Linked DNA regions of Struthio camelus. The protein of the gene in region 4 purifies or fractionates together with the protein of the main gene of each other region. This does not show direct contact. Links are inferred from orthologs where the notes say so. Each region holds a gene or a part of one and is shown on either strand. Other genes may lie near its edges. The genes, in order: FBXO9, MTUS1, CACYBP and SKP1.

Region 1 (7,547 bases), on a different chromosome or scaffold from region 4:
CAGACATCTCCCTGGAGTCCTGCTGTAGGTAGCCCTTGTTTCTGGCTCCCCAAGCTATCACAACCTTATTGGACTGGCTTGTCCTTTGTAAACGTCTTTTCATTGATGTCCAAGTACATTATCTTTTACAATTCATAATGCAGACAGTGTAGGTTCGTTATAGTAAACAGAAACTGCATCTGTTTCTGCACTCTGTTTTTAAGGCTGTACTTTTAAATTTCCTCAGTGGAGGAACCAGGTTAAGTTGAAGCATTCCAAAGTGCTAGAAGAGTTAAGCCTGAACTAGAAGTAAAAAACTTAGAAATGTATTTTAATGAAAAGACTCACACAGTTTTTGATTCCAGGATTTGATTCCAGGCAATTAATGCCGTATGAGTTACAGTAGTCCTATCACCACAGTATTTTAGCATCCAGCGATTACCTCTACGCTGGACAAACAGAGATAGCCAAGGAACAAGCTAGTTCTGAAGCACATGCCTTCTAAGTGCGTTATTACAACACCCTGCTCACACAAATAAGGCCTACCTCTGCCTGAGCAGAGCGCACAGATACACAGCTTCTGGTTTGCACCTGGGCTGATGTCCAGTCAGCTCTTGGTCTGGGCAGAGAAAGCCTAGTTTTATCTGCAAAATGCAGGGACTAGTGAAGTCGTCGCTAGACCAAATCAACATACTATCTTCCTGGACATAAGGGCACACCCATTAAAACTCTTAATCCATTAAGTCTGTGAATAAACTATTTTAGAGCAAAGTAGTGGTAAGATTTAGAATTTTAATTATTTAGAAGCTTGTGAAGCTGCCTGAACCCTCGTGTTTAAAGCCTTACTGTTTCAGTAACCTAATCCAGAGCCTTGATTTCTTCCCCTTGTCTCTGTGTCGACTGCCCTACTTCTCCTTCATTCCTGAGTCACAAATGGTCACGGTCTGGACCAACTGCTTCCAAAATGTCATTCAATGTCTTTTAAAACTTAATTGTCCCCTCAATCCAAGTAAAAATTACACCACTCTGTGAAGACCTGGTCCCAGTCTAAAAGCTGTCAAAAAGCATCACAAAGTTGATTGTAACTGAAGTTTTGATTTTCATTGTTACCTCTTCCATGACTGCACGTGGGATCTGAAGTCACTCAAATCAAAAACTTTTCTTCTGGCACCAGTAGCAGCAAAAGTGACTATCTAACCCTCTAGATTTACGAGTAAAGCAGTCCTTTCACATTGCTGCCGCACAACTAACTGGACTGGAAAACTGATCTCTGTTAATAATCTGTTTGCTATTTATCTGATCTGCAGAAACCCTATGGTTTTGCTTGGACAACTGAGTAAGCACAGAGGTAGTACTGAAGTACTAGCCATCATCACGAGCAGACAGCTCAGGAGACTAAATCCAAAGTGGGTTGTAATTTATAGAAGTGGATTTCTCCTTCACATTCGGACAAAATTTAAATCGTAGTTACAGTTCCTGAAGGTTACAGAATATTGTATTGTAATCACTACAACCTGTTCATCCTTATGCTATTGGCCTTCCTCCAAGTCAGCTATTATACACATCAGTAATTTCATTCTGCTTGGAAATTTAAGCTAGACTTTTGTAGTATATATTAATCAGTGCAAATTCTTCTATGAAAAAAGAGGTAGAAAATCAAGCTGCAAGATGGCAAAATGGAAACAGCAAACATCTGAGTTAGACTCTGACCTGTAAAAAGAAGTCAGCTGGGCCATTTTGATTCCGATTTGTCTGGAAAGCTTGAGATTATTTGTCCAATGCAAAGCTAGTTTGTTTTCACAGCTCAGTTTTAACTATTTACCACGTGGTAAGCATGCTGCATTCCTCACAGTACAACAAACAATGAGTTACTAAAGAACTTGGCCACTTGAGTTTAATTTCAGATCTTTGTTCCAACAGAACAAGGCTAAGATCAGAAGCAGCTCCAAGGTGACTGTCACCAGCTGAACACGCGAGCTGTAGAGAACTGAAGGATAAGCAAGGACAATATTCGCAGGCTCTAGAGAACTGAAGGATAAGCAAGGACGGTACTGATGGGTGGCTAATGTTCTTCTTGGACTTGTAAGAAAAGTGGAAATAACTCGACTTTCTGTCAGTGTGGTAGAAGCAATACTCTGTTCAACAAAAGTTTTAGTCACTGTGGCAAGGAGTTTTAAGAGCTCCTGAATGACATAACAGGGTTAACTTTGAAGGTTCCAGTTGTCATCATGGATACTTTTTTTTTTTTTTTTTGGAAATATAATAGGTAGAGAAGCAGTACTGAACCAAACAATACTCCTGATTATTTGTTAGCGTGTCTGACTTAACTGAGTGCCTGGCCCGCAGAGCCCTTTAAACTGCCAAGTAACATTATGACATCTGTTTTCGACGGGGAGGACAGAGAAAGGCTGGACGCGCTCAGCTGCAAAGACACAACGATTCGCGTTCCTCAGGGCCCCCAGATGGGTCCTAGACCATTCATCAGCCAGAACTCCTTCGGCGGAGGCGGCCGCTCTCCTCGCGACGCAGTGTGCCGGGCGGGATCGCGGCACCTGACACACGGGCGCCCCCCGGTGCGGCCGGCAGCGGCGGGACGGCCGAGGCGGGGCGGGGCGGTGCGGCCTGGGGGGGCCGGCTCCTCCCGCCCCGCCGCCCCCACCCCCTCAGCCCCCCACCGCTGCCCGGAGCGCCGCGGCGGGGCGGGGCGGGGCGGGGCGGGGCGGGGCGGGGGCCGGGCCGCCCGCCGCTCCCCGCCCCCGCCCGCACCTCAGCCCGGGCCGCTGCCGCCGCCCCACCCCCGCCCCCCGCGGCGGCAGGGCCCGGCCGGCGCTCACCATGCTGCCAGCGCTCGGGCGGCGCTGCGCCGTCCCGGGGACCTCTGCCCCCCGCTCGGTCCGTGCGTCCTCCCCGCGGGGGGGGAATTAGCAGAGTTCTCGGTCGGAGAAGCGAACCACGCAGCGGGAGAAACTGCGGGCCCGGCGTACGGCAGCCATCTTCCCGGCGAGTGAGGGGCAGGCGGACCAGGAGCAGCGGAGACACGCGACCAGACAAACCCGGCGAGGTCAGAGCGCCGCCTGACGCACGGGCCGCTCTGAGGCGCAGCGCGCCGGCCGCGCGAACTACTCCTCCCAGTACACACCACGCCCTCGCGGCCGGTCTCCCGCTGGAAGCAGCGTGGCGCATTGCCTGCTGGGGAATGTAGTCTTCGTGCCACAGCGCCGCCCAGTCCTGAAGCGGCGCGTGCTGGGCAGCAGCGCCTTTCCAGGCCAGTCAAACCCGGCGGAGGAGCAGTGCCCGCTGGGAAGCGTAGTCCCGCCTGGGCGGTGAGCGGGCCCGTACCGCCCGTCTCGGTTCGTGCGCCTGCGGCGCGTAGTAAAACCCTCTGAAGGCTGCCGGGCACGGAGTAAGGAGTAACCGTGTTTACTGCGCCGCGGCAGGCGCCACAGCGCCATTTCCAAGGGCAGGCCCGGCCCGGCGCGGCCCGGCAGAGGCGGTGGCGGCGGCCTGACGGCGTTGCGGGGCTGCAGGCCTCGCCCCCGTGCCCGCAAAAACGGACAAGCGTGCGCACAGCTACGGGGTGGGCAGGCGCTTTGAAGCGGCCCTGCCTGTTCAGCAAACATACTCAGAGACCCTTTCTTTAAAAAGTGTAAGTACCCCCTCAGCCCTACGCTAGCAGGAGCTGTGGTTTGGTGTTGGTGTAGAAGTTCCCCGTGTAATTATGATCAGGCCAGGGCTGCTACTACAGATGAACGGAGAGCAGGGTAACAAAGGAGCGGACAGTGCTGTGGCTGTGCGTGTAACAGCTTTGCAGAAGTCGAGTGGATCTCGTGGTCCTGTGTCCTCTGCCCATGCAGTTCAGCAATGCCTGAAGAGATTTATTACGTGCTCTGTGTATACCTTCTAAGGTTTTGTAAATAGGGCTGAAATAATTTTTTGTCCTTAATTTGAATTATAATCTTTCTTCAGGGAGAGGAAAAAAAAAAAACAGACACAGAGTCTGTGTGTACACCATTCTATAGTTAACCCCCTTATCCATAGCTACGACCCTAAATATTTTTAGTAGCAAAAGGAGGGGGCTGGGCTGGGCTGTGAGCTCCCTTGTGGAGTGGCTGGAAGTGACGGAAGGGGTGACTCAGGGAAGAGCGGGACTGGAGGGCCGGCAGGCGCCTGGGTCCGGGCAGGCTCCTGCAGTGTGTGCTCTGGAGCAACGGCGATGAACAGTGGGGATGAGAGTAGCGTGGCAGAGATTTTGAGATGAGGTGACCGTGAGCGCTTCTACAGCTGGACATCTCTAATGGTTCTTCTTGTTTGGGGTCAGAATCAAAGCTATTAGGCCTTTCCCGTGCCTGGATGTTTCTCTCTTCTTTTTGGAAATGAAGAAGCTGTGCCTTTAACGACAGAAAAACAGAGTGCTATAACTGTCATCAGGCTGGCTGTAAATATATGTATATGCATGTAATATGTAATAGGGATGACTTACAGCTGAATTCTCTTTCGCGTAAGTATGTGCTGCTCCAGCTGGCTTCACTGAGAGTTAGGCACGCCTGTCTGTAGTGGGGAATTTAACTCTTAATGGTATGGGTTCTCTTTTTTGTTTAACAAATGTAAATGTTCCAAAGACCAGCCTCTGTTTAGATCTGGGGGATCCAGACATCCAAGCCTTTTTGGAGCTCCATCAAACGTTTTTAAGTGAATGACTGTCTTTTTAAATAAGTGTATATTTTCACTGACATAAAATATTGCCCAAGAGGAGGAGCTGTGGCATGCTCCTGAGTTATAAAGACCAGCTCACTCTGCCTTGTAAAGCCCTGGGAAGTATCTTTTTGTTTTACTGTTAAAACCCAGATGAAAAGGAAGTGTGAAAAGAAACTAAGACTTGGGGTTATTATTACTGTGGGATGTGATGATTAATTACTTGGGGCTGAATTTTTTTCTTCCTCGTTTCCTTTCTTTCTGCCTCTCCCTCCCCTTTTCGCCCCCCCCATTAGTTAATTTGACCTTATTAGGGCCAGCGAGAGCTTTTGGTCCTCGGGAGAGGAAGGGTCAGGCCTTCTTTACAGCGGTAGAAAGATGAGAGCCTGTGAGCAGTACTATGCAGCGGAAGCTCCTGGAGGATGGAGGCCTGAGCGGTAACGCTAAAACAAACGCGTATTTGCCACTCGTTAACAATTTAAACTAGTGTTTCTGTATTGCTTGGTTGTTTAAGCTCCTCTCAGAGATAGGAGAGAGGCCAGTTATCCGGGGATGATGTCTGTAATTTTTTTTTTTTTTAATTACGATGTAATCCCGTTCAGCCGTAATCCCTGCCGCGGGGAGGGGGGGGAGGGGAGCGGCCGGGCCGCCGCCCGGGAACGGGGCTTACGCCGTGCTGCTTCCCTCTCTCTTGTTTTTCCTCCCCGATTTCCGCCCTCTTTTTTTTTTTTTTTTTTTTGGGGGGGGGGGGGAGTTAAACCCCGCGCCGTGACGGAAAGTTTGCCCGCGGGGCCGGGGCACCGTTTGCCGCTGCCGCCGGCGGCCTCCCGCCTGTGAGGAGAAGGCGGGCGGCTGCCCCGCGCCCAGCTGGGGGCCGCGGCCGCGGGGAGCCGTTGCGCAGCCCGGTGGGAGCCGTTAGAAGCGCCTCGTGCGCTCCCTACGCACCGTTTTGCTTCAAGGAGGGTTTGGGGGGGGGGAACCCCCCACGTATCTGTCGTAAGTACGCGTCGGTGCTGCAGGCGTCCGTCGGGAAGGCTGCCCGGCGCTTGGCGAGGGGATGGCGAGGGGTGGGCGCACTGAGACGCGAGAGGAAGGCGTGGGGCGTCCGGTGTGTTTGCTTTAGGTCGGCTGCGGCGGCGGGAGCGCTGGCGCGCCGAGGGGCCGCGGCGGCGGCTGCGGCGGAAGGGCGGCGGTGAGCCGTGGGCGCCCGGGCGCCTCGTGCCGAGAGCGGCTCGCCGCTGCCCGCGCCCCGCTGCCCCTGCGACCTCCGAAGCCTCTGGTGACAAGCGCAGGCGGTAGCCAGACGGAGGTCGATTTAAAGGTGCGCTTTAAGCCGCGGCTTTCTTTATGCATGCTGCTGCTTGAGACGACTGTCACCGCACAGAACAAACGTTAAAAAGCCGCTTCCTGGGTGGTTAGTGTGTTTGCGGTTCCCCGGTTTGTCGGGGGAAGAGGGTCGGTTTCGCTTTCAGTTCTCAGCCCGGCAGCGTTTCAGGCACCAGAGAGGTTCCCCGCGTGCGTATATCAATGAAAATAGTAATTTTGAATTGCGCTTGCATTCAGAAAGTCTGCTTAACATAATGAAGTAAAGCTTGCTACTAAAGGGACTTTGCTAGTTCACTTGTGTGGAATAAACTGTTTACAGGGCAGATAGAAAGGAGGATTGGGGGAATGGCTTTACAGTATTGTGAAAACAAGGCTTTTTAAATTCTGTTTAGTGTTAGCACACTCTTTTCTTCCAGTCCAAGACAATTCTGCCATTAGTATTTACATTATGGAAGCCAGAAAGTGAGTCTGACAATGTGAAGCCGATTGTGATAGTGTGAAGCTGCCTCTCGTAGACCCGTGAGCTCTGTGCGGCGGCTTCAGGGAGTCTCCACTGACGTGAAGCAGTCTGCAGGATTAAAGTTTAGCTTATTTCAATAGTTCACAATGAGCCAACTGAAGGTGATAAAGACAGAACGTAAGTGTTGCAAAGGAAATTATATTTAAAGAACAGTTTAGCTAGTAAGCTCAGCTTTGTGATGCTGATTTAGTTAACCAAAAAAGACGTTATTTAGCTTTTGTCCAGTGGACATGTGTTCTGTATCCAGTGCGTTTGTGCTTCCATAGGAGTCCTGTTAACTTCTGTGCATCTTACCGTATTTTTAACATGCGTTGCTCGTTACATCTTTTGTCATTATTTTAGATTATTTTTTTCCTCTCTAATTTTCTTACCGTCCCTTTATCCTCCGGCAGTATTTGCATTTGTCTATTTCAGTCACATTTGACAGCTGAGCTGGGATCTCGGAGATCTCAGTTACAAGTTCTCTGAAAATCAGTGGCTGCGGAAAGGATAGGGGACATTTAAATTAGCATCCCCAGTGAGGGATAGGCATATTATATTATTATATTATGTTTTCACACCTTCGTCAGGTCAAGAGACATCAGCCAAATGGTCTATCCATAATAGCTATTGCTGGTTATTACTAGCAATGTCATGTGCTGATACTGTTATGCATGTTTTGTTTTGCTGTGGCTTATCTGACATAAGGCAAGGATGCTATTCCACTTCAGAGGCACAGTCCCTTGGGAAGGGTCGTATGAACGGTAAGCCAGTGGCAGCATAATGCTCTGTGAGTTGTGAGCCATCGTATCTGTTGGGATTACAATCTCGGAACCCTTTCATTAGGGGCCTATCTGCTGAAAAATCCACAAGCCCCATCGCTTCAATGTAGTTACTGTATAAAATAATGTTTTTAGTATTAATAAATATTGCATTTCCAGACTCAGATACTGTGTGGTTTTTTATCACTGCTTGAGATTTGCAGTAAGGATCTAACTAGAGGTCTGGAAGCCCAGGCTTCTCAGTTACTATCCAGTCATTGTGCAAAGAC
Region 2 (7,827 bases), on a different chromosome or scaffold from region 4:
CCCTCTCCCCACCTCAAAAAAGATCACAACAGAGTACATTAATCCAGGGCCTGCTGGAATTTTATCTGACAGAAGTTAGCCTCGCAATGCTGAGAACTAGGCCAAACCAGTGAACGTGAACAAATCCACAACACTGTTTTCCCAATTACAGCTAAAAGACAAGCATTATCACAGACTAAATCCACAACAGCTCTAGATGTTGCAGTGTTAAGTGCCAAATTTTGGCACCAGTTTCCCAGCCAGGAGCCTGCAGCTCTGTGCCTAGTGCCCCTGCTCCCTACTGCAGCAGGACCATTAGGTACCTGGGACCAAAATCTCCAACAGACAGCATGAGAAGGCACTTGACGTGCCAGCTTTCTCAGTTCATCTAAAGCATTTAATTCTGGCGTTATGCTGGGGCCAGGTCCACTCTTAGACATTAGCGTCTCTCAAAAGTAGAGCAGGAGGGGGGAGAGGTACTCCCTTAGCAGCTCCGCAGTAAGGCCTCACTCCCGAAGAGTCCCAAGAACAGCACTGAATCCCTATCTCACTTCCCAGGAAAATCCCTGTCACCAGGCCAGAGGCTAGGTGGGAGGAATACCCTTCATTGTGCCTGCTGTTATTCTGAACAAACTAATCCACGTTCATTGGACTAGGGAAGCAAAGCATCACTTTGCATGCAACAATTAAGGTACCTAGCTGGGAGCAGGGAAATTTGAATTTCAATCCCTGTTACAAGACTGCTTTTTTAGCCAATTACCATGTAATATTAAAGTGTACAAGTAGCCATTAAAAGTCAGGAGCAGAAGCCAAGTGAGTTCCCTAGTAACCTATTCAAAACCACCCATTTCCCTGGATACCAACAAGACACAGACTTGGCCATCCTATGCTGCTGCATTTTCACTACTATTAACAATCAAGTTACCTGGTACTAATTCAATGTATTTACACCTGCTGCAATCACATACATCATTAAAGTCAGCTATACCCCTATCTCCGGGTAGCTTTTCTTTCCAGGGCCCTTCAGAGCTACTGCTTGGAGCCTAACCCCAACTACTATTAACTCTTACTGACAAGAAAAAAATAAATATTAAAGAGAGAGAAAAATGTTGCTCCATTCTTTCCCCTCCTCACCTATGCTAACATTTGACTTATAACTTCATTTATCCCTTGATCTGTTCTAATTCTCTCACCTGCTTTATGCCTCCTTGCAGTCTTGGATTCCTTCCCCCACGTTATCTTCTGTCTTCCCTTCCTCTTCCTTACCTAAGAGCTTTTACCTTTCTTCTCTAGGATCAATCCTCTTCTCCCTTTCTCCTTTCTTTCCCTCCTTTTTCAACATTAAGAGACATGACACTTCACTCTTGATCCTACATTTATGAAAATTGCAGTGCACTGATCAGAAGAAGCAAGGAGGAAAAAAAAGCAGAGAAGCAAAAGTCATTTCACGGCTACTTAGCAGCAAAGGAAAGGGCTGTCACGAGGTTTTGATCAGAACAACTGTTTTGCCAGCAGCTTTTGATTAGAATTCCAGGAAAGGGACTTCCAAGAGCAAACTGATGCAAAAAATGTAAATTATACAGACCTTAATGGCACCTCTAGTTCCCTCTCCTTCCTTGAGAGTCCTTGGCCATTTCTTTGAAACCATCTTTGATGGGATCTGATGAACTTTTCCCCCATGTAGTGATTTCACGTGTCATCGTCTACCTGAATTCCAGCCAAGCTGAAGGTGGGAAGATTTTATAGGAATGCCAGTATAATTGCTCCCAAACTCCCTCATTAATATCTCACTTTAAAAGAATCCAGTTGTCATCTTTGCTTTTACAATTGATTTTCCCCCCTTGATTGTTGCCGTACAAAAGGCCTAGACAAACTACAAAACTAGGAAAAATGAGAGATCCATCAAAGAGGAATGGCTGCAGGGTACGCTGAATGAACTGTGATCTTCAGTGGGATAACGATTAACGTGGCAAGCTTTCAGCTGTAGCAATCAGTCGATATTTTCCAGACCACCCCTACAGTGACAAAGACGGAGGCATTTTTAAGTTGTAACTGAGATTAGCCTTGATATATACAGTTGGAGCCATGCCTGTGAACTTTGCTATAAGGCTGACAATGTAAACTATCTATCACTCAGTTTCACATGAGCAGTAATCTAATGGCACCACAAAAATCTCACAATGTTCCTCTCTCCACACGTCCAGCCACAGCAGAGGGCTTCTGCCAGAGGGCTTCAACGACAATACCAGAGGATTTGCCTTCCAAGATCTGAAGCACTGCCCATACAGACCCTCACTAAAGATTGGTATTACTCCTTCTCAGGGTGTCAAAGCCATGTAAAATGCTCAGTCTTGTAGTGTGAGAGCACTCATGCTCTAATCCAGCTCACTAGATTTGCAGTCAGATGCTAATCGAAAGCCTGTGCATAATACCACTGACTCCAGCACGCGCTGGATGAAGCCCATAAAGATGGGCAAGACTGCTTTTCATGGATAGGAATAAGATATTTTGTTTGCTACTACTAAGTTAACCACAATAAAAATAAATAGTTGTCTTTCATGTGGTGACAAAACCAAGTAATCATGCTATACTCCTTTTTTAATTATTAGGTTGAAAGATGCAGTGTCTTCCTGGCATGTTTAATTCTGAATCATATTAATCACACATATAAATAGCCAGCAACTGTAGACAGTAATGTGGGGGGGTAAGAGGCAGGGAATCAATGTCAATGATGTCAAGAAAGAATTTCACGTGGAGTCACCAAATCTGTACTGGATACAGATTCCAATACAGATACATCACGAGCCTCAAGGCTGCTATGTCTTTGTGTATTAGACATGGAGGGTAAGTTTCCCTAGCCTTACTGGCATCTGAAAGCTTCTGCTCCCTGGACTTTACGTTGGCAGAAGCTACCTTTCTGCTTTGTAAAGATGAGTAAAAGATTTTCCCCCTCTGCCTCCTGTTACGGGCAGAACACCCAGCTGAAGGCACTGCTTTTGTGGCAGATCCCCCGTGGGTACCCCGTGGCGTCAGGGGGCCTGTCATGACAGGTACCTTCACCATCAACACCCACAGGACCCCTCCGAGAAAGCCTGAACTCTGCCATCCCTCTGACCCCATGAGGACATGTTTTAGGAGGAGAAGTTTTAGTAGCACAGCTCACAAAGACGGGCAGAGGCTGTCTGCACATCTGCACGCATACTTCAAGGTACGCTACAGCAACCTTAGGTCACAAGAAACACTGGCTGCTAGAGAGCAGTACTATCCCGCGAGCCTGCCTAGGAATGACATCCCTCTTCTTTCACCTAGGATAAAGGCCAGAAATTGTGCTCCCTTCCTCTGCCTCTCCTTCCTGTCAAGTGAGGACTTTCTACAGGGAAATTTTATCCACTTCTCCTTGGAGAGGGAGACTAGTCCTCCCAAGAAAACAAGTGATGTTTATTAAGACTGTATGAAGGATTTGTTCATCTGGTGTCCTTCACGCGAACAGGATCATTTCTGACAAAAAGGCAACTTTTTTCACTCCCATTTGCTTTTAGGCACAACACTCCTCCCAAATGTGGCCGCTCTCTCCCTCCCCTTTCCCCAGGGTCCTTCAAGCGCAGGAGGTGACTTCAGGCGCAGGACGTTAGTAGAGTTAGGTTGTTTGATACAGTTCCACAAGTGGACAAATCCTGGAGGGAAGCAGAGGCCATTTACAGCCAGGAATTTAAGCACCAAAAAGTGGCATAAAGTAATACTGAGGACAGAGTGGTAAAAGGTGGAGTTAAAGCTGTAACAGTTACTATTAAATTCAACCCCTTTGTAGATGCGTAGTATTTGCAGTCTCATTCTTAATAAGCATAAACTATAAGATTAGTGCATGTCCAACATCACACAGCGCACGCCAAAACTGAGTCAGAATTTCCTGAGAACTTCTCCCTTTACAGCCACAGCATTGCTCCAGCGTTGCTGCACCCCATTACGCTGACCTCAAACACACAACAGCCCACAGCTGCCCCCAAGCAACAATTTGCATTTTCTTGCTCCCTCATTGCAGCCGGGAGCGACGGGCCGGGCCTGGCCGGGCCAGGTGCGAAGGCCCAGCGAGGCCGCCGGCCGGGAACGTGGCCCGACCTGACCCGCCGCGCTCATCATTTACCGGCGGGCAGGCCACGAGGCTGGGGCAGAGCGCGGCTACCTTGCCAGATGCCGCGACTTTTCACCCCGCGCGTGGTATGCCAAGGCCACACGTGCTTCAGAATAAAAGAAAAGAGGTTTCTGCAGTCATCAGCTGCAATTTTAAACTAGCGCACCTTGGACTAGGTGCGGCAAGGTCGCCAGCTTCGCGCGGGCAGCAGCAGGAGGCACGAAGCGGGGCCCGGCGGCGTCCGGCCGGCAGTCACCCGCCTTGGCCCAGGCCGCGGAGGGAAGGCCTGGCCCGCCGCCCGCAGAGCCCGGCACGGGGGACGCCCTCGGGGGAGCTGTGCCAGCCGGCCCACCGCGGTATTTTTAGTTGTTGGCCCAGTTCCCTGCCAGCAACCTGCGCCTCTCCCCGCACCGCACCGGGAACCCCCCCCGCCCCGGCTCCGCCGTTTCTCCACGCCCGCCCGGGGCGGACAAAAGCGCCGCCCGGGAGCGGCCCGGTCCGCAGCCCGATGCCAGGTGAGGCAGGGCAGAGGTGGGGTGAGCAGCTTCCCCCCCCAACCCGCGGGGCTGGCGCAGGTGCGGCCGGACCGGTCCGAACCGGCCCCGGCCGGAGCGGGCGAGCGGGCGGGAGCTCGGCGGCGGGGCCCGGGAGGGGGCGCGGAGCCGCTTGCGGGGCGGCTCCGGCGAGAGGCGCGGGGCGGCCGCAACGTGCGCAGGGGCAGCGCGGCGGCGAGCGGAGCGGAGGCGCCGGCGCTCCGCGGGTGCCCGCGCTTCCGCGGGGGCGGAGGGGCCGGCGGCGCAGCTTGGCGGCGCAGCGCGGGTCAGGTTTCCCCTGGCTGCGTAACCCAGCCCTACGCTTAGGGGGGCGCCTAAGCACCGGCGTAAGTACCTACTTTCCCCCCCCCCCGCACTTTAAATCTCTCCGTAACTATCCCCCCCCCCCCCCCCGGCGCGGTGCGCGGGCGCGGCCGTTTAACGGGGCGGCCGCGGCGGGGCGCGGGCTGGCGTTCAGGCGCGCATCGCGGCGTGGGCCCGGCTCCCTCCGTCCCTCAAGTTTTGTGGCTGGGCTCGTGGGCAGAGAAACGGGTCCCTGCTGCTTCCCCTCAGAGACTTAATGGAAAAAGGGTTCGTACTTCTTCTTCTTCTTCTTTTTTTTTTTTTTAACCCCCCCCCCCCCCCGATTAACCGTGCACAGCTCTCCCGGAAGGTGCAACTGGCGTTTGAGCGTTAACCCCGTTACGGAGCACAGGTGCTGCAGCAGCCTCTTTACTGCGCGCTGCCGAAGCCTTTCTTAACGGGCTGAAGTCGCTGCTGGAAGTTGGGGTGGGGGTATTTAGTTTAAACAAATTTAAAAAAAAAAAAAAAGCCGAAATTCCACATTGCCGGTGCGGCTTTTAACTAGCTGAGCACCAGTGTTGTATCTGAAATGTGTAAACTCTAGTACTGATTGCTGTCGTGCACCTGCACTGAGCAAGTCCTGCAGCAGGAGTTCAGACACTTGCAATTTTAAAAGAATATCTTGAATGCTTGCTCCTCCGTCTGCTTCTATTTTTACAACACAAGGTTGGCAAGGGCAGGAGAGCTAGCCTTTGAAAAGGGCATTGAGCTTAAACTTGATACCATTGTTCCCAGGCCAAGGAGAGAGTGCAGATTAAAGAAGGGGTGGGGGGGGGGAAGTAGATTCATGATCACGTGAATCATGAAGTAAGTTCATGACCACAGCAAAGATCAAGCATCCTCTCAGCATCTGGGCTGAGCAGGTTCTTGCTTCCGACGCAGCTCTGACAGTCTGCCACTGGGACTAAGGCTGTGCTTTGGTTTTATTTATTTATTTTACTCCTGTGGTGCAATGGACAGTACAGCTGGGTTAAACCCCACATGAGGGGGCTATCTAGAAGATCAGCTCTCATGCTGTGGCAGGTAACTTTAACTAAGGCAGTTAAATGGTCATTTCCTCCGCGTTGTAAGGCTGGTCATAATTGAAAACTTGCTCTAATTAAATATGCCATTAATAGTATACTTGCTAACAAATCAGGTAATGATTGAACTGTGGTGATTAGGTATTTATGGTTAATAGTTGTCTGCTATCTCTTTTTTTTTTCTAAATGAACTTAATACATGGTAATAACTCCTCTCCTAATGTGAGGAGAGGTGAGCTTTTCATATCATGAGAGTTGTTTTTGTGGGAGCAGAAAAACTTTGGCCTGCTTGGTTTATACCACTCAGATTTTCAAAGTGGATGATAAGGACCAGGACAGACACAGTTCACTGCCTGGATTACTTAATAAGAAAATGGGTATGAAAAATTGCTTATTACATGTGATGCGTAGTATGTTTTCCTGTGGAACCACGGTGATGAACTGTAGTGGCTGGCTGACACGACTCTATTCCAGGCCATTGGGACTCACTTAGTTCTCCTAAGGCTGATTATTGTAGACAAATAATAGATTGCTTTTTAAGCTCTGTTTTTGTTTGTTTGTAATGGTGCTTAGTTGTGCATGTGCTAGCAAAGCTGTATTTAAAATTCATATAGTCACTTTTAAAAAATACTGCAGAATTCAGATTTCTTGCTAAGATCAGACTGCCTCAGAACTGTGGTTAGAATAATTATAATAACCAGGTAGTTTTGATGATATAACTTTGTCTCCACTGGGTGGAAAAACTGCGCTAAACATAACTGTATATGGGAAGGTTCTACAGTCTGAAAATATTTGAAAAAATACTGAAGCTGTAGTAGACGTCACCTTAAAACTGACCTCAGGGTATCTTCTTAAGCAATTTAGATTAAGTAAATAGCAAGCCTTATTGTTGGATTCATAGCTTGGCTTCCCACCCCCTTATGTTTTACTTAAGCACTTCTGAGGTCCTGATTTCAGTTCTAAGACTAGATCTACAGTAATGCAATGTAAAGACCTTGACGAAGTCAAGAACTGACAGAGTAATGACAGTTTAAATACACTTGGGGCCCCCACTTCTAACTTTTGTGTTCTGTGGTTTTAAACTTTTGTCTGCAATCATGTATGAAAGAAGCAGGATTCTTTTCTAGGAAGAACAAAGATTCTACAATAGAGCTGGATTATTACAAAAACAAGTCAATTATCATGAGGCTTGTTTTTAAATGGTAGGACTTAGCATTCTGCTGGGATCTAGCGTGTCAGATAGCTTCAGATAGCTATTGATCTTAGCAGTCTTAAAAAAAAAAATAGTTGTAATGGAAACTATGGAATGCAATTTAGCCATCTGGTAATGGAGGACTAGATGGTAATAACTATACATATATAAATTTATAACATACTACATTTTATACATAACATGTTAAAGTGTACCACAACTATATTATGATCGGAGATACTTTACAGTTTGTTTTGAGGAGCCCATGTGAGCAAAAGTGGCCATGTGCCCCATAGGTTAGACCCAGAAGTCTCAGTTTCTATTTAGGTTATTTTGTTTCCTTAACTCAATATATGATATATCCTAATTCACTGTTATATCAGGAAAAACAAGAGCTTTGAAAGTTTATGTATCCCGGGAGTTCAGAGGATTACCTGGCAAGTTCCTGGAGTGATCGGGCTTAGTGCAGGAGTTTGGAGTTAAAGCTGTACAAGGTTAATGCTCTTTATTTTGCTTTACTGGGTTTCTTACAAAAAATGGAACGAGTCAGTGCTTCTTCAGCGTTTATGAAGTGTAAATGGTGGTTTGTTCTACAGTTTCTTTTGAACA
Region 3 (6,909 bases), on a different chromosome or scaffold from region 4:
CTGCTTAATTGTCACCAATTTCTGAAATCCTGTTCGAGAGCTATCAACAACGCTTCAGTATCTGGCCGCGATCTTTTGAAACAGAAGCCCAAGGATTCCAGAAAATAATTCTACAATTATTACAACTACAGATTAATGAGAGTCACGTTTACACTGAAGAGACTTTACAGACAGAAGGGAGGGACTGCAGGTTAATGCTCAATCTGTTGAACTGGAGTCAAGCTACGAATACAGAGATATTCAGATTCTTTACAAAGTACCTACAAGAGAAGAGGTATGCTGACTGACCTTTCTAGAGCTGCCTTCCACAGAGATGGGTTTCAGAAGGTTGTTGAAGGTCATGGTGTAGTTCTTCCCATTCAGATTCTTCACTAGCAGATCAAATGACCTAGAGCCAGAAGGTGAGGGGAGGAAAGGCACAAACAAAAATTCCAAGCAGTGTAAGACTATTCAGCCCTGTCATCAAACACAACGTCTGAAAACCATTAAGCAGGCACGTTTCTTGGGAAAGCAAGCCAACAGGCTTTCAAATCTTCTATTGGATTTAATACTGAGCACTTAAAAGGACTTATGCAGAGTTCACAACAAATCAAGATCTTTAGCATTCTAACATCTACCTGACTGAGCTCCTATGACCCTGGAAAGGAGGGAGGTTCATTTAATCCACATTTCAGTTCTACCACCATCAAAAAATAGGTCTAACGTAACATATGCTATCAAGCATGATGAGGCATAAGGAGCATTTGTAAAATTAAAATACTCTGACACCCACTAAGGAGAGCTATATGTAAGTGTATGTACTCAAGTACTATTAAAAGTTAATACTTTAATAAGCAATTAATTAATAAGCTGATACTTTTAATAAAATTAAAGTTAAAAAAATAAAAAAAACACGACACAGCAACCCAGAGCAAAATTCAACACAACACATTCCTGCATTTCAGATAATGCTCTACACCCACGCTCTCCTTCTTGGCATGGGGCAAAAATATGAACTCACCTCTCTGTGAAATTCACCTGCACATTCTCAGCTGGGAGCTTCTGGACTCCACTTAGAGAGATGTAAATCTTAATAAACTTATCTGACTGATCCCAACCTGCAAGTGAGAAAGATAAAGTTCTAGCTTTCCTCAGAAAAGTCAGAAGTAGATGCCTGGTTTTCCTGCCGTTTCCTTGACCCACTTTTTCTTATACTTTCCACGTGACAAGTACCTTAAGCAATTCCTTCTCCTTTTACCTACATGGCGAGCAGAGAAGCCAAAGCTCAGTCTTTCGTTCTTGCTAAGCACTAGGCAATAGAAAAATACTAGTAGGTGCATCGGGGATCATTAACGTGTTCCTCCAGTAAAGAAAAGCTATCAGACAAACAGAACTGTGGCTGGGACAGAGCAGTAAGCCTGTAAGTAAGTAGCTTTTTGGGGGGGGTCTGTGGTGTGGTATAAACATCTGAGAATGTTTCTCTGTAACGCTAAATGGCAACTAAGACTCACACTTAATACCACCCTGCATTCTATTCAAAACAGAAGCCTGAGCTCTAACGTTTGTGTAGAAGAGCAATCCTACCATAGTTGTTTATTTTCACTGTATACCCTCCCAGCGATGACTTTTCTTCTTCTCCTGCATCTGCTTTCAGCTTTGGTGGAGGCTGATTCTTGAGTTCTATCTCTAGCTTGTGTTTTTCAGTCATCAGGACATCACGAAGTCGCTTCCTCGTGGTTTTCGTAAGCAATTCTTTAACCTCTTCCAAATCTTTCTGTAACTGATTTAAGAATAAAAGATCGTGCACGCATATTAGATACCCCTCTTTCTACTCAGGGTTCACACCACTGGGCTCTTTCACTCCTATTAGTTTCAGACACAGATTCAGCAAACCAAGTTACACTTCCCTTTATACCCTCCTCAGCGTGAAACCATCTGTCCCTTACTCCACGGCCACTAAGGTTTTAACTGCTCAATTTCAATCTTCAAGCTTCGTTCAGTTAAAAAAAAGGGGAAATTAATAAAAGTTTAACGTTTGGAACACCAACAGGTTTTGGATTTTGCTAAAAACGTACTGCCCGATCTCAGACCTATAGCACTGAGCAAATATTCAGACGGAAGACTCAGAAAAAGGTCAAATGGGGGTAAACGTCTCTTATGCCCCAGATTACCAGCCACTGAGCCCTTGCAGCCACATAAATCAAAAGCAACATCTCACTGTACCTCATTAACCTACTTTCCCCCTCAAAATAAGATTCTCTATTCTAAGATCTAACAAATGTAGAACAATAGCATCAAAAGCACTGAAACTCTCAATGAGGGGAGACGACAAGAGGTTGCGCTTCCTTTTTAAGTGACCGATTTATTGTAGAATTGTACGATTCAAGGAAGGGGCAGACATACTCAACGTGATAAACATCTGATCCTCAGGGATTTCTGAAACACTAGCTTTGCTCAGGAGAGAGGAATATTACAATAAATAACCAGACCGGCACAGAAACGTGTTTTTTTTTTTTCTCCCTCCATGTTTGAAACTTCTCGCGTTTCTTTAACTTGAGAGCGCTCGAATTAATTGCACGTTGGCGCAATCGCAGCTCAACCGCAAAAGAGAGGCGCCCGGAACCCACCTGGCAGACACCTAAAGAAAAACAAGAGGTTCCGCGCATCCCCCCCCCCCACCCCCAAGGCTTCGGGAAAGAGGGGCAGCGCCAAAAAATTAAATAATTAAATAAATAAATAAGTAAATAAGGAGCCGCACAGTTGTGCTGAGCCCCGGCCCGGGCCCGGGGCCGCCCAACGCCGCTCGCGGCCCCTCAGCGCGACGCCCGCTCCCGCCGCCCCTCACCTCCTCGTGCGCGGCGGCCATGGCGCGGCGCGTGCCCGGCGCTGCTGCCCCCGCGGCGGCGGCGGCGGCTCCGGCTCCCACCGGCCCCTCTGGAACCTTCCCGGCCTCGCGCCGCCGCGTCCCCTCCCCCCGCCCCGCGCTCACGCGCCGGAAACGGCGTCACGCGCCCTCCCCCCCCCCCCACCGAGGCGGCCTCGCCAACCCCGCCCCTTCCGCCTGCGGAAGGAGAGGGGCGCGCCGCTGTCGGCCCCTGTCACTGGCGGACGGGCGTTGCTATGGTGACACGCCGACGCGTCAGGCGGCGGGGCGGGGCTGCGCGTGCGCCCCGTTGCGTGGGGGGAGGGGCGGGGCTGGCGCGGCCGTTACGCGGCCGTTAGCGACCGGCTGAGGGCGCGCCGCCCTGACGGCAGGAAGCGGGCGGTCAGGGCTCCGCCTGCCGCTGCTGCTGCCGCCTGGCGCTGCCGCCTGGCGCTGCGGCGCTGGGAGAGCCACCCTGGCGGTGGCTGGGGGCCGGGGAGGCAGCGATCTGAGAGGCGGGGCGGTCTCTGAGGAGGCTGGAGGCCGCGGCCGGTGGGCAGAGTTCGTGGCGGGCTGAACCGGCGGGCCGCGCTTCTCCGTGCGCCTTCGGCGGGCTGCCCGTACGCGTTGTGTGCCCGGCTGGGCAGGGCCTCGCCGAGTCTCTGTCTTGACATCAGGATTCCTCCCTTCCGTCTGTGTTTAGTGTAATTGGGAAACAGGACCGTAAACAGCCTGCCTAAATATGCTTTTTCTGAATATTGCAATCTTTTTTGTAACCCTGCGCTAGGTAAGGAAGTCTTTCATGTACGGAAAACAGCCACATGTGCTGGTGTGCCAGAATCTCTTTAAGTGCCAGTAAAGCTTTCAAGCTCCTGCCTGAAGTGCTTGCTGGGCTCTAATTGGCGTTGGTGAGCTTTTGTATTAAACACTGTTCTTTGGTTTGTCTTTTTTTTTGAGCAACGGTGCGCTCTTTTATAGCTGCGCTATGTTAGCTGTGGGCACATAAAAGGATCAGGCCAGTTAAACCGAGCCCCAGAGTGCTGTTTGCATAAAACATAAAAGCGTCAACAGGCAGGTCACCTCAATGCCAGCATGATGCCAACAGCAGCAGCTCGTCTCTCTCTCTTTGCCTTACCCGACTCAGGCCAATGTTTGGCAATGAGGTACTCTGAAAAGAAAGTAACCTAGAACGTATGCAGCCTTTGTAATAAGTGAACCTCATCAATTTACAGTGCACCAAAGGTTGGAAAGCTTGCGTGTTGTAAATGGCAGAGGTTGTCTTGTGCGTGTGTTTAGGAGTAAGGAGCTGACATAAACTGAGTCTGGAACTGCAATGCTTTGAATAGCTTTTTTTTTTTTTTTTTAGATGGTTGAGTTTTTTGTTAATAGTTAAGTCTTTCTTCTGGAAATACTATGCAGCTTTATGGTAAGGGTTTTCAAAAAGGAAATTACCAACTATGAATCCTTTTGTGATTTTTAGACTCATCTATAGCAAGCTACTTACATTCATGCTGAGTTTACAGAGTCAAAGATTATCAGTGATACAGAACCCCCTACCGCCAGGAAGTAGTAGTTGGAAGCCAGAAATTTTGTGGTGAGGGTTAGTGATTATATTCTCATTAAGAGGCATCAACAAGTTAGCAACCACTTCAATTGCAATATGGAGTCAATCATTGTGCCTTTAGAAAAGAGGTGAAATGACCTTCCTGAGTATTACAACCTCAGTTACAGTTGGTCCAGGGAGAAAGTATTTCATGGTGCCTCTCACCACCTTTAGTAAATCAATTAATAATTAAAAAAAAAAAAAAGGCTTTTGTATTCCCAGGTCCCAGTCGGGCATTAAAATTTCCCAGAAAAAAAGAAGCTGATGGAAATCTTTCTATAAGTAGGTAAGTGGAAGAGTCAACTTTTGCCTCCAAATGTCCTCATAAAAATGGGAACACAAAGGAGTATACAATCACTCAGTGCTGAAAAAGTAGATTTCTCTGTAAGAGAGGTTGCCGGTTTTAACATTTAATTTACTGAGCTGAGAAATGCCAGCTCACTCTCCAATTTATGGGCTTAGGGGTTTTTTTTCCTCTCCGCTTCTAAGGTAAACATAAATAATCTGTGAATGTTTTTTTTTTTTTTTTTTTGCAGGGGATTGGTGGGGGTAGGTAAGAGGATATTAGATCAGAGATTCATAGAAAATCTGAAGTTGAGGACTTGCAAGGCTGTATGTCACAATGCAATGTTAATAGCATATACTGAAATGTTGCTCATACCCCTCTGGTCCAGTGCTTCAAGAGCTGCAGCTGAGAAATTGTCAGGAAAAATCTCCACGACTAACTCTGTAGTTTTGTTTAATTTTCACAGAACTGAGCGTCATCCTGTAGATCTTTAGCAATAGCATTTGAAGTTGGGCTAGTGGATTTTTATCTGGAAATTACAGTATGGGCAATTGGAATTTACTTCCGTGGCATGGTTATTTAATTTGTTGAGAGCAGTTGCATATTCAGGAATTGTTTCCTTATGATCTTTCTGCTGAGCAGCCACTAAGACAAGAAGCAGCTTTTCTGTGATGTTTCCTGAACCACTAATCTCCGAGTTTTTCCCCTCTCAGTTGTGGTCTTGCATTAGGACATTCTCATAGCTTTAGAATTTAAATTGATATTGCTTTATAATTTAATTTCTGGATAGAGGAGAAAACATGACATGTTTCACCAATACATAAATGCATGTGCAAGTGAGCCTGTAATTCAGTCGCTTGCTAGGCTCTTTGAAAACCAGTGCTTATTTTGTATCCTTAAGTCACGAGCCTTTCAGTGCCCATGGCACTCCCATTGAGTGGCAGCTTACAAGCGGAAGAGTGTATCTCTTGTCTCATGTAAAAACACATTCCACACTGCTCTGCATGAAGCTGCAGTAGCATCCAGATGCTGCGTTCCCCCTTGTCGGAACGAAGAGAAAGCCTGACAAACTTAGTTTTCTGTGCACGTTTTTACAAGTTGCCAAGTGACAGGTCTTCCTCTCAGGAGAGAAGAATCGGAACAGTTCCTGAGCCAGGAAGGGGAAAAAGGACCTTGAGGCGGATTGGTGGGAATAGTCAAATTCAACCGAAAGACCCGGATCCAGTCTCTCTGGATGACAAAACACTGTGCAGTATATTGTTTTTCAATGGTCATTGGCTCTAGGGACAGAAAAGAGAGCATCTGGAAGGGCTACGAAAGGATGTTTGGCCTCCTTAGCTAGCCTGCAGTAGCCGTTCCTTTTGTCTGTAGGAACTGATGGAAACTGGTGGCAAACAGTCTTTGGACGGTGATGTGGAAGTTAATCAAAAGCAATATATTTTCTGGTAAACTAATTGGTTAAAAATATTTATCTTCAGCTTTTCTACCCTTATGGCTTCATATCTTCTTCTCAAGTGCTGTGTGTTTTTCCAGTTATGCAGGCAGCAGTGGCTGTTCGTCTAAATAGGAAAAAAAAAATCCCTGTAACAACTCTTATCTATTGTTCACATGGAAAACTGGTTTTATAAAGTATCTGAATTCTTCTAATTGCTAACTTTAATGAATACTGAACTTTTATTCTGTCCTGTTCTTGCCTAGCCATGCTTCTGTTATAAATATGTTTTCTGTTTCTTGCTGGTACCTTCTGCTCCCTGATTCTTCTCTTCCTCTAGACGTGTCATTGCTCGCTTGCCTGTTTCTCTTGTGTACCTCCACTGAAGCATCGGGTCCTTAAGAACAGCTCGTATTTCCCGATCTTTTAGATCAGCAGCCTTCAGGGGAAGCATATTGATCAGTATGTTCTCTGTGCTGTAAACTTCAGACTAACATTTGGAAAAGAGGACCCACGTGACCTATTAGCTCTCCCACATAATGTCTGTCAGATTCTTGTGGAACAGGTTGCTTCTTGTGAACAAGGACATTATACCAACAGTTTGAAATTAGCTTTGTAACACTCGCACGTTTTGGATGACTAGGCTGCTAAATCGCTGTGTTTTAGTACAGTAGTGCTGCTTGAAAATAACCAACTTGAGTAAACTATGTCTGAAGACCTGGTACAGTAGTTATTTATTACTACAG
Region 4 (7,192 bases):
ATTTTGAATGTTGTCAGTCTATCGCTGTCAGATTAGACTCTCATCTAAAAAGTGGACTCCCATCTCCCACTGTATCCAATGTCTTGCACTGCTCTGGTACAACTTGGATGAAAAGCACTACATTCTTAAGATGCTACTGTCGTACAGTTTTTGATGAAGTGGAGATACTTCAGGAGTGTTCTAGAGTGGTAGTGGGGGCAAGAATTGTTTCCTTGTTTGGCTGCTTGTTGCAAGGTTGCTTTGAACAGTGGCATGTGTCTTTGAGCCCCAGCGCTATCTTTCTACCATATTATCTCAGACGAATAATTGTGATGTTTTCTGTTTTTACAGTGAACTAGTCCTAATTTTCCTTGCCTTATTGATATGCCTGCTCGCTTTCAAAAACATTCTTCAAAAGGAGTGTTTTTGCTGCAAGTCTCATCTCCCCTGTGTGCAGATGAGGTTCTTGTTTAGCTCCAACCTTCTCCCTTGTTTTCTAGCACCTAGCTCTCTATGCCAGAACTGTGCTCTCTGGACCCTTGAGTTCAGTCTTTGCAGGGCTGCCTTATCCTCAGGATTTCCTAACTGAGGTCCATGAAATTTTCAAGCTTGTTACCGATGGAACAAAATACAGAAGTCTTTCAAGCCTGATTCTCAGGCTTTGCCAATCCTGTGGCACACTTCTAATATTAAAAATACTCTGTCTTTTTACAGTGTGTGATCTCCATAGATTGTGAATCGCCAGCAACAAAAATCAGCTTCTCTGCCTGCAGAAATGGAGACCGTGAGGCACTTGGGCTGGGGGAACAGTCTCTTTTACCTAAGAGGCAAGAGAAATAGCCGGGAATAGAATCCAAGTTCTGGGAGTAAATCCAGTGCTCTGTCCTGGAGGCTGCACTCGGGTCTCTAATGCCATGTTTTTGCCAGTGTGTTGGTGAAAATTCCCTTCCCCCTACAGTTGTGCAGCTATTCAGCTAGCTTCTGCCTGCAGCCCAGTGATGCTGCAAGTATGTAGGTCAGAGCTCTTCTGGATCTGATAAGCGTTAAATCAAGCTTACACTGATCTTGGTTGCTGCAGTCTTTTCAGGTATTTGCATTAGGGTTAAGCTCCCCCCACCCCCCTTCCTCCTCTGGATTCTCTGTGGTAAAAGGCCCTTACTTTTAATTTATCTGTGGCTGATACGGAGTAAGATTATCTATATGGCTCCGAATGGCAAATCTTCGGTTCAGGATTATTTGCACTGGAAAGATTACCTATGTGTGTAACAATTGAAATTGGTACACCCATCTTCTGAAAAATCTCCTTCTTTGCCTTGCAGGTTTAGTGAAGGATGGGTCTTTTTGTGTTACTAATATTGACTTACTCATAGGACTTTGGCTATCAACTCTGCAGCAGCTTCTGTTTCAGGGCAAAGATAATGAGCATCTAGACTAGCTTGGGAGGTTCATTATGAGATATGTAGGGCACAGTGGGGAGGTAGCTGTCAGTGTGATCATAATATATCTATGACAATCTTATGCCAGTTGCAGGGGGTGTGGTGTTTTTGTTGTAACTTTCCCATACTTCTAATTCAACAGCTAAATTCAAAGTCCACTGTGGACTGAATTTTCTCTGTTACATCTTTAGAACAGGTGGATCAAATATAAAGCATGTCATCACCAGTATCACTCTAAATTTATAACTCATTCGCAGATCATAAGTAAGCATGGAATTTAGCTTTCTGCCTGCTCCGAGACTTATTTAGATTCCTCTTCTGTAGAGAGCAACCCCCATTCCCCTCTACGGAATCTGATTCCCAGTCTGAGAGTGAGCTCATAGTTACTGATCACAAGCCAAATTGGAAACCTTGATCTTTGGCAGCAGCAGGAAAAGGGATTTAGGATTATTGCTTTTGCAGATATGTTGCCCGCAGACCACCTTCTGTCATCTGATCCTCTTAGCCAAGCTGTTTTAATGTAAATAAAAAAGAACAAGCAAGGGGGAAATAAAGGCAGTGTTATTTTTAATGCAGTGAATGTAGTTTTCAGGGTTGGTGTACAAGATGGAGTGACTGAGGAGGAAAGAGGAAAATATGGTATAATCAAAAGGTCACAGATCGGAGGCTTCCTTTTTTTAGATAATTAGGTCCTAGTGAATGGTTAACAGATTGTCTAGTTACCAACACCAGGATCTTGAGGAGCCTCTGTTAGTATCAAAAGTCTCCTATATATAAGCATCACCTGATACTTTCAGATGCTCAGCCAGCTGGTAGGAAGTACACTTCAGAGAAGCATAGCATAATTTAGGTCAGAAGAGACCACTGGAGGTCCTCTGGACCAGGCTCCTGCTCAAAGCAGGGTTAACTCTGAATTTAGATCCATCTTGAGAGTTAGATCAGGTTGCTCAGTCATCTTCAAGTGCTCCACAACTAATGAGCTGCTCGGCATCCTGAAGCCTGTCATACAAGATTCTCAAAATAAGCAGTCTTCTCTCTATAAAATTCCAAGGAACTATTAAAAACCTATTTGAATGATATGACACAATGTAGAATTGTCCTCTGAGCCCTAAGAGGTTTTTTTTGGTTGAGAATCCATAATCCTGAGTCTCCCACCTCTCTGGAGAGGCAAGCCCTAACCAGCAGGCTCCGAGGAACACTATCGAGGCTCTCTGTGTAAAGTGAACCTGCTCCTGGTTTTGGATTAAATACTTCTAATAGTTGCATTCTCACTGGTTCTGTCACTCCGGTGAAAGTAGAAGACTAAAGGTTAAGTCCGGTTAAGTCCCTTGTTAATTTATACAAAGCTGCACATCTCAAAGAAAGGAAAGAAGACTGAGTATCTTAGGGGCTGGGCTGCTACCCTGGGCTGTGGATTCAAGTCTGCAAGCAAGCTCTCGAACTGAGCGTTTCTAAATTCCCAGGAAATTCTTTAGTTTATTAGGTTAGAAGGTATTTTCTGGTGAGTAGTACTGTTTTTTGTTTAATAAAGTGTGGCACGTAACCTGGGCCCCTGAGAAAAGGGCAAGCTGTGACTTACGGTGTGTTTGTGCTCGGCAGTGCAACGCAGTGCTGGTGCTACCACTTTGCTTACAGGTAGACTGGAGATGTATATGCTGCAGTGCTGTGAAAGCATACTCATGTTCTAAAAACATCAACAAAGATTTGGAATAAAGCACAGGGTTGCACAGTCAGACCCTGTTTGTGACAATCTCGACCACTTAAAAGCCACTCCGGGGTGGCACAAATACGGTCTGTGGCAGTGCGATGCTGCACCCAGGCTAACCACTCCAGGTACCTTGGAGGGGGTACCTCTGTCTGCTGTCCCTGCTGAGGGAAAAACTTCAGCCTGCTCTTTTCCTCAAAACCTAATACCTGTCACTCTGGCACGTATTCCTCCCTCGCCCTTTTAGAAAATCTTACCTGTGTCGGGGTACACAGCTGAGGTTTGCTGTTGCGCTAACAGAGCACCGCTTTTGCTGTATTTACATAGGCCTGAGCCCTCGTCTCTGCACACCGGCTCCTTGCTCAGCTTCGGTTTCTGCAGGTCCTTCACTGGGCTCCGTGGTTTTCGGTGCAATTTTCAGCTCAAAGCGCCTCGCGCCGCTTCCCTGAGCGGCCACTGAAGATCGCATGTCATGGCTTTTGCAGGGGAAACGCGAAGACGATTAACAGAGAGCTAACCACACGTAATTCTTGACTTCAAGCCACCCTTGCTGTGGTATTTGCGCTGTGTTTGTCAACTTTCTCGTTAGGAAACTCCAGTGGCACGAAAATACCCAAAGATTTGGGGGGGGGGGGGGAGGGAAGGGTTGGGACGACTCTGAGCTGCTCCTTTTAAGCACAAGCAACGCACAGGGCGCCGCGGAGGTGCGCGGCCGCCGCGCCTGCCCCCCGCGGCCCGTTTGGAGCCGCCGCTCGCCGTGAAGCGACGCGAGCGCTCCGGGCACGGCGCGGAGCCGAGGCCGCTTGGCGCACGGAGCCCGGCCTGCTCCCCGCACCTCCCGGTGCCCCTCTGCCCCGGGGCCGGGCCGGGGCGCGGCGGCGCCTCAGGGACGCGGGGGCGGCCCCGCCGGGGGGGAGGGGCGCTGCGGCCGTTGGGCCCGCGCGAGGCCCCCGCGGCCTATTGTGAGGCTCCTGGCGCGGCCGCCCGCCTGCCTGAAAGACCCGCCGGCCCGCGCCCTCTCCTCCTCGCTTCCTTTCCGCTCCGGTTGGGCCCTCCCCACTCCCGAAGGAAGCGGCGCGGGCCCGCTTCTGTTTGCAGCCCCTCTTTGCGCGGTGCGGGAGCAAAAGCGGGGAGGTTTTGTTCAGGCGGCCGGTGCGGGCAGCCCGGCGGTTGCGAGGCAGCGGGAGGCGGGTCCTTCGCCCCCTCCCTCCCGCACCCCTCCCCCGCCGCCACATAAAAGCGCCGCCGCAGTCGGGTCGGGAGCGCCGCCGCCGCCGCCAGGTCTCGCTCAGCGCGGAGCCGGACGCCGCCACCGCCGCCTCACGGTGAGGCCTGCGGGCGCGGGGAGGGGCTCTGCCCGCTGATGGGAGCCGCCTGGGCCCGGCCCGGTGCGGGCCGCCCGGTGGAGAGCGGCCGCGGTGCTCCCAGGGGCCGCTGAGGGCCTGGGCGGCGGCGGCGGCGGCGTGAGCTTTCCCCCCCTCCCCCCGGCCCGGGGCTGCGGGGCCCTCAGGGAAGCGCGGGGGAGCGGCGCCGCCGGGCCTTGCCCCTCCCCGGCCGCGCAGGTGCCCCTGTTCTCCTCCTCCCCCCCCCCCCACACACCTGGGGCTCCTCGGGCGGCCCCGAGCCCCCCTTCGTGGCGCGCGGAGGTGTCTCTGGCGCAGCTGAAACGCGAGCCGAGGGTCTCGGACGTGGCTTTAGGAAATAGCCGCGGCGTTTCACCTAGCGGCACGGAGGGGTTGGGGGGGACCGGGCACGCATCCTGAACAGCTTCGCGAGGCGTGCAGTTGCCCAGTCGCGCTGTTGTAGAGGGCTGGGCTCTGCGTTTCGGGCTTATGCCTGCCGGTTGCCGCTGTAATTGGGGTTTGTCTCTTGACCGGCTCCCGGCGTGTTTTGATGCTGTCAGATACAGCTTTTGGGACTGGTCTGCTTAGTCACCCTATTGTGTTGTTATCTGTGGCCTATCTGTTTCCAGAGTTGTATTGCAGTTCGTTAAAAAGGACTATTTTCTTCCAGTAGACTCTGCTCTGTGGTAAGAAATAATAAAATTTAGATAAAGGCCTTACCTGTTACGGGTTAAAAAAGCAGTAGGCTAGCTTCATTCTACCTGATTCAGGTCCCTAACGAGAGTCTTAATGCGAATATTCTCATGGGGGTGAAATTTCCTGAGATAGCATCACTCTCTTACTGGCTCAGTTGTGCAGCATTATGTAATCCTAGATACCACGAGCCTAAGAAAGCTCGTATATCAAACTAGATTTGTTCTTGAGTGCTCTTAGCCTGTCGCTGCAAGAACAGATGTTAAATCTGAAATGTGCAGTTGTATGTCTTTTTCAGAGCATCCTTCAAGCCAGAAACTCACGACCATGTTTTAATCCTAATTTTATATGTGTGTATATTATATACATAAATATATATGTGTATATATAAAAGGAACAGCCATGACTGTGTCCCTCCAAAACACACATCATCTTAATTAGAAGTAGCACTGTCATATAAGGTTACATTACTGTATAAACATTAACTAGCTAGTGGCTCTGCCAAATGGAAATTAAAGCAGTGAGGACTTCAAGCTGGTGTGAGCTGCTTAATAACGTATGTTGGCTGGCCTCCATTGGCCTTGGTTTGTTGCAGTACTGCCCAGCTCAGCAGTACTGAGGAGCTACAGAAGGCCCTTAAAAAGGGATAACATGAGTTAGCTGAAAGTAGTGCGGCTTCCTTCGGTTTCAGTAGTTCAGGTTACCACTTTAAGGAGCTAGCATGTGTAGATGTTCAGCCGGGCAGAGGGAGAATGTGTGAAAATGATAATTCTTTGTCCCTAGAATTTTTCTTTAAAAATTAGTTGCAGGCTGCACCTATAAATGTATGCTTTAGAGGTGGTTTTTTTTTTAAAGCAAATAGCTTGTGAGAAAACTAAATCATTGTAATGGTCTGCTGCTAAGAAGTGTTTTGAATGGTAAAGGAATGCATTATAACACTCATCCCAGTAGCCTGTCAAGATCTGATTTATAAAACTTTTTGCAACCAGGCAGTTGTGTTTATCTGGGTCCTTCATGTCAGTTGATTGAAGTGCAGTGATCCCCAATTAGACTTCTATGTGTAGCTTCAGGCAGAAGTTGTAACCTAGTAACTATTGTATCAAGTCCCTTAGTTCTGTTTTTGAGTTGTTGAGTATCTGGAAAGATGCATTTTAGGAAAACTTGACTATTGGTTTATTGATGGCATAATCTTTAAAGTCTGCTGCTGTTTGTATAGTAGTTTGTATCACTGTTTGTTCCAAAAAACTTTGTTAAAATACTTACTCGTCTTAATAGTTCTTAATGCTAACAAGGTGCTGATGCAACTTCCTACTTTGAAAGAGTAGTGTAAGGTGCTGAAAGCCTTCCTTATGGTGGTATATTGTGTGTATGTTTGCTTTGTTTTTAATCTCCTCAGAAAGCCAAGCTTTTTTCTGAGGGAGAATTGTTCAATCCTGAGTAACTGGTCAGTTGACCCCGCTTTGAGCGGAGGTGTGGGGAGTCTAGCCCATCTCCAGAGGTTCTTTCCAACATTGAGTATTCTGTGACTTAGTTCCAAGAGCTAGAAATTGAAAACTGCTTTTGGATCTGACTTCAGTTAGTTATGATGAGTACCAATTGTTTGGATGTGAAAACAAGTGGTGTTTTGGAAGTGTTTGTGCCACGTTAATTCAAGAGAAAGATAGCTCTAGTGTTGGACCGCAAAAGTATAAGCGTTATTGATGCTAATCCATTTTATGGCTCTCTCGTGCTTTTAAATTTGAGAGAGGCTTGTTTGAATTAATGTTAGACTTCTTTCTATTAATTTCTTAAACATCAGGTTTAGTGAATTTAGCCCTGTTGATCCAAACAGTGAATAGTCTGAGCATGCGTGAGTGACAGTGGACTGCTTGCTGTAAGTAAGAAGCAGTATAAATATTAAAGGTAACTTACAGCTTTAAGGCAGCTAATCTTTGCATGGTAATGTGTCTGCAGAATATTGTGTGAAAATAACTGTCCTTCTCTTGTAGATGCCTTCAATTAAACTGCAGAGTTCAGATGGAGAAATTTTTGAAGTT

Evidence for each region.
Region 1: the proteins of SKP1 (region 4) and FBXO9 purify together in Homo sapiens (co-immunoprecipitation; 9 studies listed by BioGRID and IntAct, with this or other methods). This does not show direct contact. The link is inferred for Struthio camelus from reciprocal best matches to the Homo sapiens genes SKP1 and FBXO9.
Region 2: the proteins of SKP1 (region 4) and MTUS1 purify together in Homo sapiens (affinity purification with mass spectrometry; 3 studies listed by BioGRID and IntAct, with this or other methods). This does not show direct contact. The link is inferred for Struthio camelus from reciprocal best matches to the Homo sapiens genes SKP1 and MTUS1.
Region 3: the proteins of SKP1 (region 4) and CACYBP purify together in Homo sapiens (affinity purification with western blotting; 6 studies listed by BioGRID, with this or other methods). This does not show direct contact. The link is inferred for Struthio camelus from reciprocal best matches to the Homo sapiens genes SKP1 and CACYBP.

What each region holds. Positions count from the first base shown.
Region 1 is NC_090944.1:34,360,553-34,368,099, reverse strand, and holds the start of FBXO9 (F-box only protein 9), read right to left. Parts: upstream 3,021-7,547; 5' UTR 2,817-3,020; coding exon 2,814-2,816; intron 1-2,813.
Region 2 is NC_090945.1:53,757,214-53,765,040, forward strand, and holds the start of MTUS1 (microtubule-associated tumor suppressor 1), read left to right. Parts: upstream 1-4,821; 5' UTR 4,822-4,988; intron 4,989-7,827. UniProt on the Homo sapiens protein: Cooperates with AGTR2 to inhibit ERK2 activation and cell proliferation. May be required for AGTR2 cell surface expression. Together with PTPN6, induces UBE2V2 expression upon angiotensin-II stimulation.
Region 3 is NC_090949.1:5,138,291-5,145,199, reverse strand, and holds the start of CACYBP (calcyclin-binding protein), read right to left. Parts: upstream 3,015-6,909; 5' UTR 2,846-3,014; coding exon 2,825-2,845; intron 1,760-2,824; coding exon 1,564-1,759; intron 1,098-1,563; coding exon 1,001-1,097; intron 389-1,000; coding exon 289-388; intron 1-288. UniProt on the Homo sapiens protein: May be involved in calcium-dependent ubiquitination and subsequent proteasomal degradation of target proteins. Probably serves as a molecular bridge in ubiquitin E3 complexes. Participates in the ubiquitin-mediated degradation of beta-catenin (CTNNB1).
Region 4 is NC_090954.1:3,872,850-3,880,041, reverse strand, and holds the start of SKP1 (S-phase kinase-associated protein 1), read left to right. Parts: upstream 1-4,181; 5' UTR 4,182-4,445; intron 4,446-5,092; 5' UTR 5,093-5,149; intron 5,150-7,144; coding exon 7,145-7,192. UniProt on the Homo sapiens protein: Essential component of the SCF (SKP1-CUL1-F-box protein) ubiquitin ligase complex, which mediates the ubiquitination of proteins involved in cell cycle progression, signal transduction and transcription.